2 linked regions of the Macaca mulatta genome follow. The protein of the gene in region 1 interacts with the protein of each later gene in a pairwise test. Links are inferred from orthologs where the notes say so. Each region holds a gene or a part of one and is shown in the gene's direction. Other genes may lie near its edges.

The links.
Region 2: the proteins of CCDC158 (region 1) and GPSM1 interact in a two-hybrid assay, tested with the Homo sapiens proteins (2 studies listed by BioGRID and IntAct). The link is inferred for Macaca mulatta from reciprocal best matches to the Homo sapiens genes CCDC158 and GPSM1.

Annotation. Positions count from the first base shown.
Region 1 is NC_133410.1:57,404,847-57,409,409, forward strand, and holds the start of CCDC158 (coiled-coil domain-containing protein 158), read left to right. Parts: upstream 1-1,555; 5' UTR 1,556-1,676; intron 1,677-4,563.
Region 2 is NC_133420.1:6,169,631-6,173,439, reverse strand, and holds part of GPSM1 (G-protein-signaling modulator 1), read left to right. Parts: intron 1-147; coding exon 148-263; intron 264-852; coding exon 853-1,008; intron 1,009-1,997; coding exon 1,998-2,106; intron 2,107-3,150; coding exon 3,151-3,274; intron 3,275-3,809. UniProt on the Homo sapiens protein: Guanine nucleotide dissociation inhibitor (GDI) which functions as a receptor-independent activator of heterotrimeric G-protein signaling.

The DNA of each region.
Region 1 (4,563 bases):
CCGCAACATTCCAATCAAATAACTAGAGTAGAATAGTTACATAGATATAACTTTTTATTTTATTTTTTTTTTGAGACAGAGTCTCCCTCTCTTGCCCAGGCTGGAGTGCAGTGGCACGATCTCCGCTCTCGGCAAGCCCCGCCTCCTGGGTTCACGCCATTCTCCTGCCTCGGCCTCCCAAGTAGCTGGGACTACAAGTGCCCACCACCACGCCAGGCTAATTTTTTGTATTTTTAGTAGAGGTGGGGTTTCACCATGTTAGCCAGGATGGTCTCGATCTCCTGACCTTGTGATCTGCCCGCCTTGGCCTCCCAAAGTGCTGGGATTACAGGCGTGAGCCACTGCACCCGGCCTAGATATTACTTTATAGAAATGTAAGGCTCCTTTTAATGTGAACTTGTTCGTAATTTTAAATCAGGCAGAACTGTTCAAAATAGACCTTGGGCATATCAGAAGAGGCCAAGGTCTCACCTCTGTATTTTACTGAGAGATTTAAAATAAACACATGTAAATTCATGTTATGATCCCCAGTTCAACCAAGTGCAGAGCTTTTAGACAATTTTATGATTTACCAAAGCAAAAAACCTTGCTTTTTCTAGAAATCTTTAATCATTTCATAAGCTTTATGCCTGAAAATAGGAAAAATATTTCAATTCCTATAGTGTCACAAAAGTATAGAAACACTGATGACTTGACCAAATTGAGGATATATGGTCAGTCTAAAATAGTGAAAATGAATTACAAATATTATTTAAATCCTGATTTTCATTACTCTAGAATACACACACAAAATAACTACCAACATTGGCAACAGAGGTACTAAGCATCCTCTTCACAAATAAATGGTTGTTTTAAAACTCTATTTTAAGTGAATAAACCTGTGCTGCCTTCTGTAAACTACTAATTTTCTAAGAAAAAAATTCACCTTTGAAGGACTGCTGCTTTCCAACAGCCTGTTATTAATAACACAAGCATTCATACTGAGTTATGATAACACAAGCATTCATCATCTTACTTCGAAGTAAACAAGTGTGGTTTCAACATCAGAATATTCTAAAGCCAAACCTTCCTCTTTCTTCTTTTCTCTATTCTCTAAATTCTAGTTTCAGTTCTGCCTCGGTCTTAGATTCTGTTTCCTGCTTAATACTAAAGTCTTTGATAGTGAATTACTATATGATTTGCCAGTATTTGGTTGTGGTTCTATACCTGTCCTACTCATTTCTTTATGCTTCTAATCTCTAATTCATGATAACATTATTCAGCAGTTTGAATTTTCTTAGTGTCATTTGTTATCCTGAAGAATCCCAAAATGTATCATTTTAGTGTATCAATAAAATTATACAACAAACATTTACAGTGAAACTCGTTTAAATGAGAAGTCATGCTTCTTGTACACAGCATAGCGTCATTTTTTATAAGCCAATTTGAAAATCCTTTTCTTTCAATGGGCAAGGTTTTTTTTTCCTCAAGTAGCAGTCTCTTCTATTTAGAACATTTAAATTGCCTAGCAATCTTGACTAACATTCTACTTGTTATAATTCTTTATGGAATATCTCCCTGTCTACTACTTACTTCCTAAAAAATGATAGCACGAAACGTATTAAGGTAGATATGTTCTATCGTTGACTGTAGTTTTTTTTGACAGGTGGCATCTCAGTAATCAAAAGGAAGAAAATGTGAGTATAACAAAAATGAATTCAGTTTAATAAAAACTGTTATGCTCAAGGTTTTTTAAAAAAATTTTTAAGCACTTTATGCTGACAATCATGAATTAATGTAAAAATGATAAGCAGTGTGTTACCTGATGTTCCTCTTCCCATCACGTTAGTGGTCCTCACCCACATCTATTTTGTTTTGTTTTTTAAAGAATCAAGATTTTGATTCATGAATTTGACCAATTGTTTTTCTTTTTTCTATCTTAATTTCTGCTTTTGCATTTATTATTTCCTACTTGTGCTTTCTTTTAGTTCACCCATTTTTCTATGTTTTTGTGTTAGAGACTTAATTTACTTTTGTTATTTCATTTTTATTGATATATGTGTCTAGGGCTGGGAATTTTCATCTTTTTACTATTTTAATGTATGTCACAGATTGATATATACTATATTCATTATTATTTTTCAGAAATTATTTAATTTCAGCTTGTATTTCCCTAGTCACACAAGAGTTGTTTAATAGAAGGCCTTTTAATTTCCCAGTGGAAAGACCTTTTTAATTTGGAGATTTTGATTTTAATTTTTAGCTTTATTATATTGTGACCAGAAGGTGTGGTTTGTAACATTTCTACTTTATGGAGCCTACCAACCTTTTATTTGTGCCCCAGAATGTGACTGATTTTTGTGAATGTGTCATGTGCCCTTGGCGAGGAAAGTATATTGTCTGTTATCAAAGTATAGTGTTTAATATATAGCCTAAAGGTCAACCTTAGTGATTAGTTCTTCTAAATCTTTTATATCTCTACTTATTTTTTGTCCACTTGGCCTGTGTAATACTAATTGTCCGTTAAAGCCTCCCATTATTACTGTGTTTGCAGTTCTTAGCATATCTTCTGTGGATTTATGCTTTATCCAAGTGATTGCTGTGTTATGTGGTACATATCTTTATTGTGGAACGTGGCTTTTAACTTCAAGTGCACTGCATTTTGTTTTAGTTAATGCTCTCTGGCTTGAAGACTGCTTAGTCTGGTATCAGGATTTTAACCGGTGCTTTCTTATTGTTTTCATTTGCCTGGAAAATTTTTGTTCATCCTTTTTTTTTAATCTTTTTGAATCTGTGCGATTTTAGGCATACTTTTTTGTACTTAGAAGAGTTGTTTTTTTTGAAAGCCAATTTGAAAATCCTTGTCTTCCAATAGGCAAGTTAAGTCCTCTGACATTTATCAACATGACTGGTCTAAATTCTGTGGTATTTTTTTCACACCATTATATTATCTTGTGGGTGTAATTACTGAATGTGTTATATTTGCTAGAGTTTCTTTATTTGGTGTTTCTTCTTTATGTTTCCGTTTAGAATTCTTTGTCATTTAAGAAGGTTTGTATTTTTACTCTAGTGGTTACTTTTGTACTTATGCTTTTTATAGTGCACTTTTAAAACCCCTTTTTCTTACTTGACCTTTCCTTTTTGTCAGTTTTAAGTGGTGTCCTTCGACTACTGTCTATTCCATTTATAACAGTCAATGGTCTTTTACTTTCTGCTTTTCTTCCTCTTCCTTCCGTTTTTAGTTACATTTATTCTCCTTTGTCATGCACATATTTATATCACTACTCAGTGCCATTACCTCACCTTTGTTTTTCTCAACTCTATAACTGAATATTTAAATATTCACCATCCGTCCCCTTGCAGTTTTCGCAGTCTTGTTTTTTAAATGTTTGTATTTATCCTTTTTTTCCAAATTTACTTTTAAAAGTTTAGAACCTACACGAAACCTTGAAGATCTTCACCAGTTGCCACATTTTACAGTGGTCTTTTGGGTGAATGAGGCTCATCTTCTCTAGTAGAATCCTCAGCAGAGGCACACGGCACAGTGTTCCGGTACAGTCAAAACTGCTTTTTTTTGTGGCTTCAGACGTTTTGAAGGACATCTTGGCTGGCTGTAATATCCTTGGTTTGTCCTTTTTTTCTTTCTTGAAAGTACTACTACACTCTTGCCTTACTGTGTGTGTTGCTTTTTAATAACCTAGTGCCAGTCTAATCTTCTTGCCTTTGTAAATTATTTCATCTTTTTTGCCTGGAGGTACTGAGGATTTTTTCATTATCTTTAAAGTCTTAATATTGTTTTAATAGTGTATGTCTCAGAGTTGATCATTCTTGGTCACCTTTCCCTAGTATGGAAAATGTGTAGATTCAGGTCTTTGTATCTGGAAAATTTTCTTGGATTATAGTTTTAAATAATAGTTCTGTTTCATTGTTCTATGTTTTTCCTTTAGGAAACCCAGTTATATTCAACCTTATTTACCTGTCTTCCATTTCAATCCTCTCTCACACTTTTTTTTTTTTTTTTTGTCTTCTTTTCTTCCTTTTTGTGGAGAATGAGGTCTTGCTCTGTTGCTCAGATAGGTCTTGAACTCCTGGGTTCAAGCTATCCTCCTGCTTCTGCCTCCCTAAGTGCTGGGATTACAGGTGTGAGCCACCAGGCCCGGCTTTCACCCTTTTTAGTTCTTTATTTTATTTTTTATTCTAATGGTGGCTTTCCTGATTTTCTTCAGTGCCTTTATTAAATTTTTATTACAACCTGTCATTGCTTGTATACTTTGTGATTCAGTCATTATTTCTGATATAATTTTGTTTTTTATTTCTCTGTCTTTCCTAACTTTAATCAATTCTCATTTAATCTCTTCCTGTTTGTTTGTTTTCTTGTTTCGTTTCTTGTCCATTTTTATTCTTTGACTTTACATTTCTAATTCAGGGGTGATTTTTCATACCCCTAAATGCTTGTTTGAGCACACTGGATTCAGCTTGGAGTATTATGTTACAGTTTTCTTTGGCTTCATGTTTGTTGTTTGTGGGAGAGACTTTTCATCATCAGAAAAGATTTTATTCATGTTTTCTGACATTTTGCAGTAG
Region 2 (3,809 bases), on another chromosome or scaffold:
ATCTGCACTTGGTCCTGCGGCTCCTACCTGCTCCCCCAGACACACAGATCTCCGGCCAGCCACCTGGGCAGGGAGGCAGCCCCTGTCCACCCACATCAGGCCCCAGGGCTGCTCCATGACTGCCTGGCCTCGGGTCTGTCTCCGCAGCGCCTGGCCATTGCTAAGGAGTTTGGAGACAAGGCGGCCGAGAGGAGGGCCTACAGCAACCTGGGGAACGCCCACGTCTTCCTGGGGTGCTTCGACGTGGCTGCTGAGTACTACAAGTAGGTGGTCCCCACAATCTCCCAGGGAAACAGCAGGACAGGGGGAGCTGGATGCCACACCAAGGAGGTGCCCGCCCCAAGGTGGGAATCTGACTGCCTCCCCTTCCCTAACCAGAAGTCAAGGTGGGGTTCTAGGCTGCCCCGGGAAGGGCAGATGGACAAAGCTCATGAGGAGGCAGGTGGTGGGGGAGCCGGCTTATGGGAGGTCTGGGCCATCTGCCTCCTGGCCTGAGCCAGAGCAGTGCCTGCCGGGTGGAGCCCGGCTGTCAGCACTGGGTCCTATACCCAGCCCTAAACTTAGCCCCATCTCAGCCTGAGCACTGGGCACAGCAGTCCCAGGTCCTCCAGGGAGGAGTGGTGGCTCAGGGTAGTCAGGCGACTTGCCAGAGCCTGCCAGGACCGCCTGTCACCCTGGAGCCAACAGTCCGGCTCTGTGGCCATGTAAGGGTGGGGATGAAGCTGGACCCCAGAGAGGCCCCAGAGGGATTCCGGGGCAGGGGACCACTGGGCAGACTGCGTCCCCATTCTTATCTTCCACCCCTCACCCTGGAACCCTCCTCCTGGGGGCTGACCTTGCCACTGTTCACAGGAAGACGCTGCAACTGTCTCGGCAGCTCAGGGACCAGGCGGTGGAGGCGCAGGCCTGCTATAGCCTGGGCAACACGTACACGCTGCTGCAGGACTATGAGCGTGCGGCCGAGTACCACCTGCGGCACCTGCTCATTGCGCAGGAGCTGGCCGACAGGTGCGTGGCGCGGATGCGGTGGGCAGACCCGGCCCGGCCCACAGACTGAATCACCGCAGCCCAGGCGAGGTGGCCGGGGTCCCATCCCCTGCTCTGCCACTGACCGTGCTGTGACCCGGGCAGGGCAGCACCGCTGTGGGGACCGAGCCAGACAGTGTGGACACAGGGCTGGCTGCTGACTCCTGGCACAAGTGGGTGGGGTCCTCCTCCCATCACTCAGTTCGCCACCCTGTTGACCCCCACCACCTGTGTATGTATGTAAATATCAGTCTCTGGACAGAGACAGGCTGGCAAACCACAGGCCCCTAAGTACTGTCCTGTGTGCAGGTCTGGGGTAAGTGGTGGCCAGAACAAGAGGCTCAGAGCCACAGGCCTGTGGCCTTTCACAGGCAGCGGAGAGGAGGGGCCTTCTGAAAGGCTGCCATGCCTGGAGGCTTAAAAGTGGCCCAGGGTTTTCCTTTGTGGGGTGGTGATGAGAATGTTCTGGAATAGACAGAGGTGCCGGTTGCACGGCATGAGTGGACAAAATGCCACTGAATCGTCCACGTGAAAAGGATCACATTCCTGTTAGATGCATTTCCCTCCAACATAAAAGCAACCCCCTCACCCAGTGACTTGGGGGTGCCTCTGAGGGTGGAGGGAGTGCAAGGAAGCTGGCCGCCAGGGGGCGAGCGAGGCCAAGGGCCCAGAAACTGCCCACAAAGGCAGAACTGGCCACAGGCCAGGTTGCTTGGGCTCTGTGCACTAATCCTTTTAATGGGAATGAAAAAGGCAGAGCTGATTGGGTCTTCTCCTTGAAGGTGGCAGAATTTGTGGGAGGTCCCGGCTAGGGGCGTTATCCTGCCCTCCGGTCTATGCTCCTTGGACCTGGGGGCCCCGATGACCCTCGAAGCCAGGGTCATGCTGGGGCCCTGACCACCAGGGGAGGGGCTGGGGCTGGGGGCAGGCCTGGAGAGGGCGGGTATGAATCCCGTCTCCCTCTCTGGCAGAGTGGGCGAGGGCCGGGCGTGCTGGAGCCTGGGAAATGCCTACGTGTCCATGGGGCGCCCGGCGCAGGCCCTGACCTTCGCCAAGAAGCACCTGCAGATTTCCCAGGAGGTGAGCCAGGCCTGCCCCCAGGGGCCCCGGGCACTGCCCAGCCCACTCCAGACGGGCCGGGTTCACTCTGTCCCGAGCAAGCGTTTGCATGCCTGGGCTGCCCCTCATCCTTTCAGGGCCGTTGCAGCCGCCTGGTCCTTCTGAGGCCTGGTGACAAGGTGTCTACCGCACCTGGGGGTTTTTCCCGCAGCCCCCAGCTGATGCTTTCCTGGACAGCTGCGTCTCCTCCTCCTTGGAGAGGTTGCACAGGGTCTCTGTGGGCTCTGTCCATTAGCACCCTCCTACTGTGGTCAGGGCGGAACATCACAGATGAACTCTGGGCCTCCCAGCTCCTGGCTTGTCCTTACATCACGCACTCCCACGCCACCTCCCTCTGCACACCCTGAGTCTGTTCATGCTAAAGATGGTGCCAGCCCCTACTGACCACCATAGCCCCGTGTGGGAGGTGGCCGGGTGGGGAGGCCTGCAGGTGCCCAGGTGAGGGTGGAGAGGGGCGGGCATGCAAAGGTCAGCAGAGCCCTTGTCTGGAGAGCTTCTCCACTGGCAGCCAGGAGGCAGCCCCCGTGTCCCTCTGAGTGCAGGCTACAGCCTCCAGGGCCCTCCAGGGCTCCATGTGGCAGTGCCTCCCGTGCCATGTCACTCTCTCTTCTGCTTGACTTAAGCAAACAGTGCCTGAGAAATGTGGATGTTCCTGGGCGGGTCCCACGGAGCCTCAGCGCACAAGGGCTGAGAGAGGTGCAGCCGGGCGGGGCCGGGCCTCTCGCGCACCAGAGGGCACAGGCCTGGCTGCCTGGGACCCCGTGCATCTCTGGGGTGGGACTAGGGGCTGTTGAGGACCTGTAGGGCCACCTCACCCAGGGACAGAGCCCCAGACTCCACCTCCGAGTCCGCAGTGAGTCCTGGTTCCCTCAGGCCCAGGGGTCAGTGACCAGTTCAGGTCACTGAGGTGGTCAGGGACAGGTGTACTGGGGGCCATTGAGGTCCCCTTGGAGCCCACAGCAGGGCCCCCGGCCACACTTGCCCGCTCCGTCCCGCTCACTGCAGATCGGGGACCGCCATGGGGAGCTCACGGCCCGCATGAATGTGGCACAGCTGCAGCTGGTGCTCGGCCGCCTGACCAGCCCAGCAGCCTCAGAGAAGCCTGACCTGGCCGGCTATGAGGCCCAGGGTGAGTGCCAGGGTTGTGGGGGGGGTCTTGCTCCCCACAGGCACAGACCGGATCGGGAGCTGGGGAGGGGTGGGATAGAGGCCAGGCCAGCATGGCTGAGGTGGCAGCCGCCAGAAAATGGCCCTGCAAGCCAGTTCTTCTTGGCCTCAGGGACAGCACAGGCCTGAGGTTCACTCTGAGCCCCTCCCACCCTCGTCCTGGGTGGCGCCGCAGGGCTGCTGGCTGAAGGACAGGAGGTGGTCACCTACTGCCCGGCTGGCTGCTCCGGGGCCTCCACTCCCCACCTGCCCCTGGAGCACTTGGTGCAGGGAGGGCTTCTGTCCTCAGACCCAGGTGGGAGAGGGCTGCTGGGAGGCAAGAGGGCATCAGCCAGAGGGCTGGGCTGGGCTGGGGGAGCCCCATGTGCCTGGGGCGGTAATCAGGCAAGGCCCAAGGCCAGGCGAGGCCACCGTGGTGACCTCATTCATGTACCACTGGTTGTGCCATGCTGGTCAGCAGTGCTGCACACGGGTCAGAGCATCCCCCACAAAGCGAA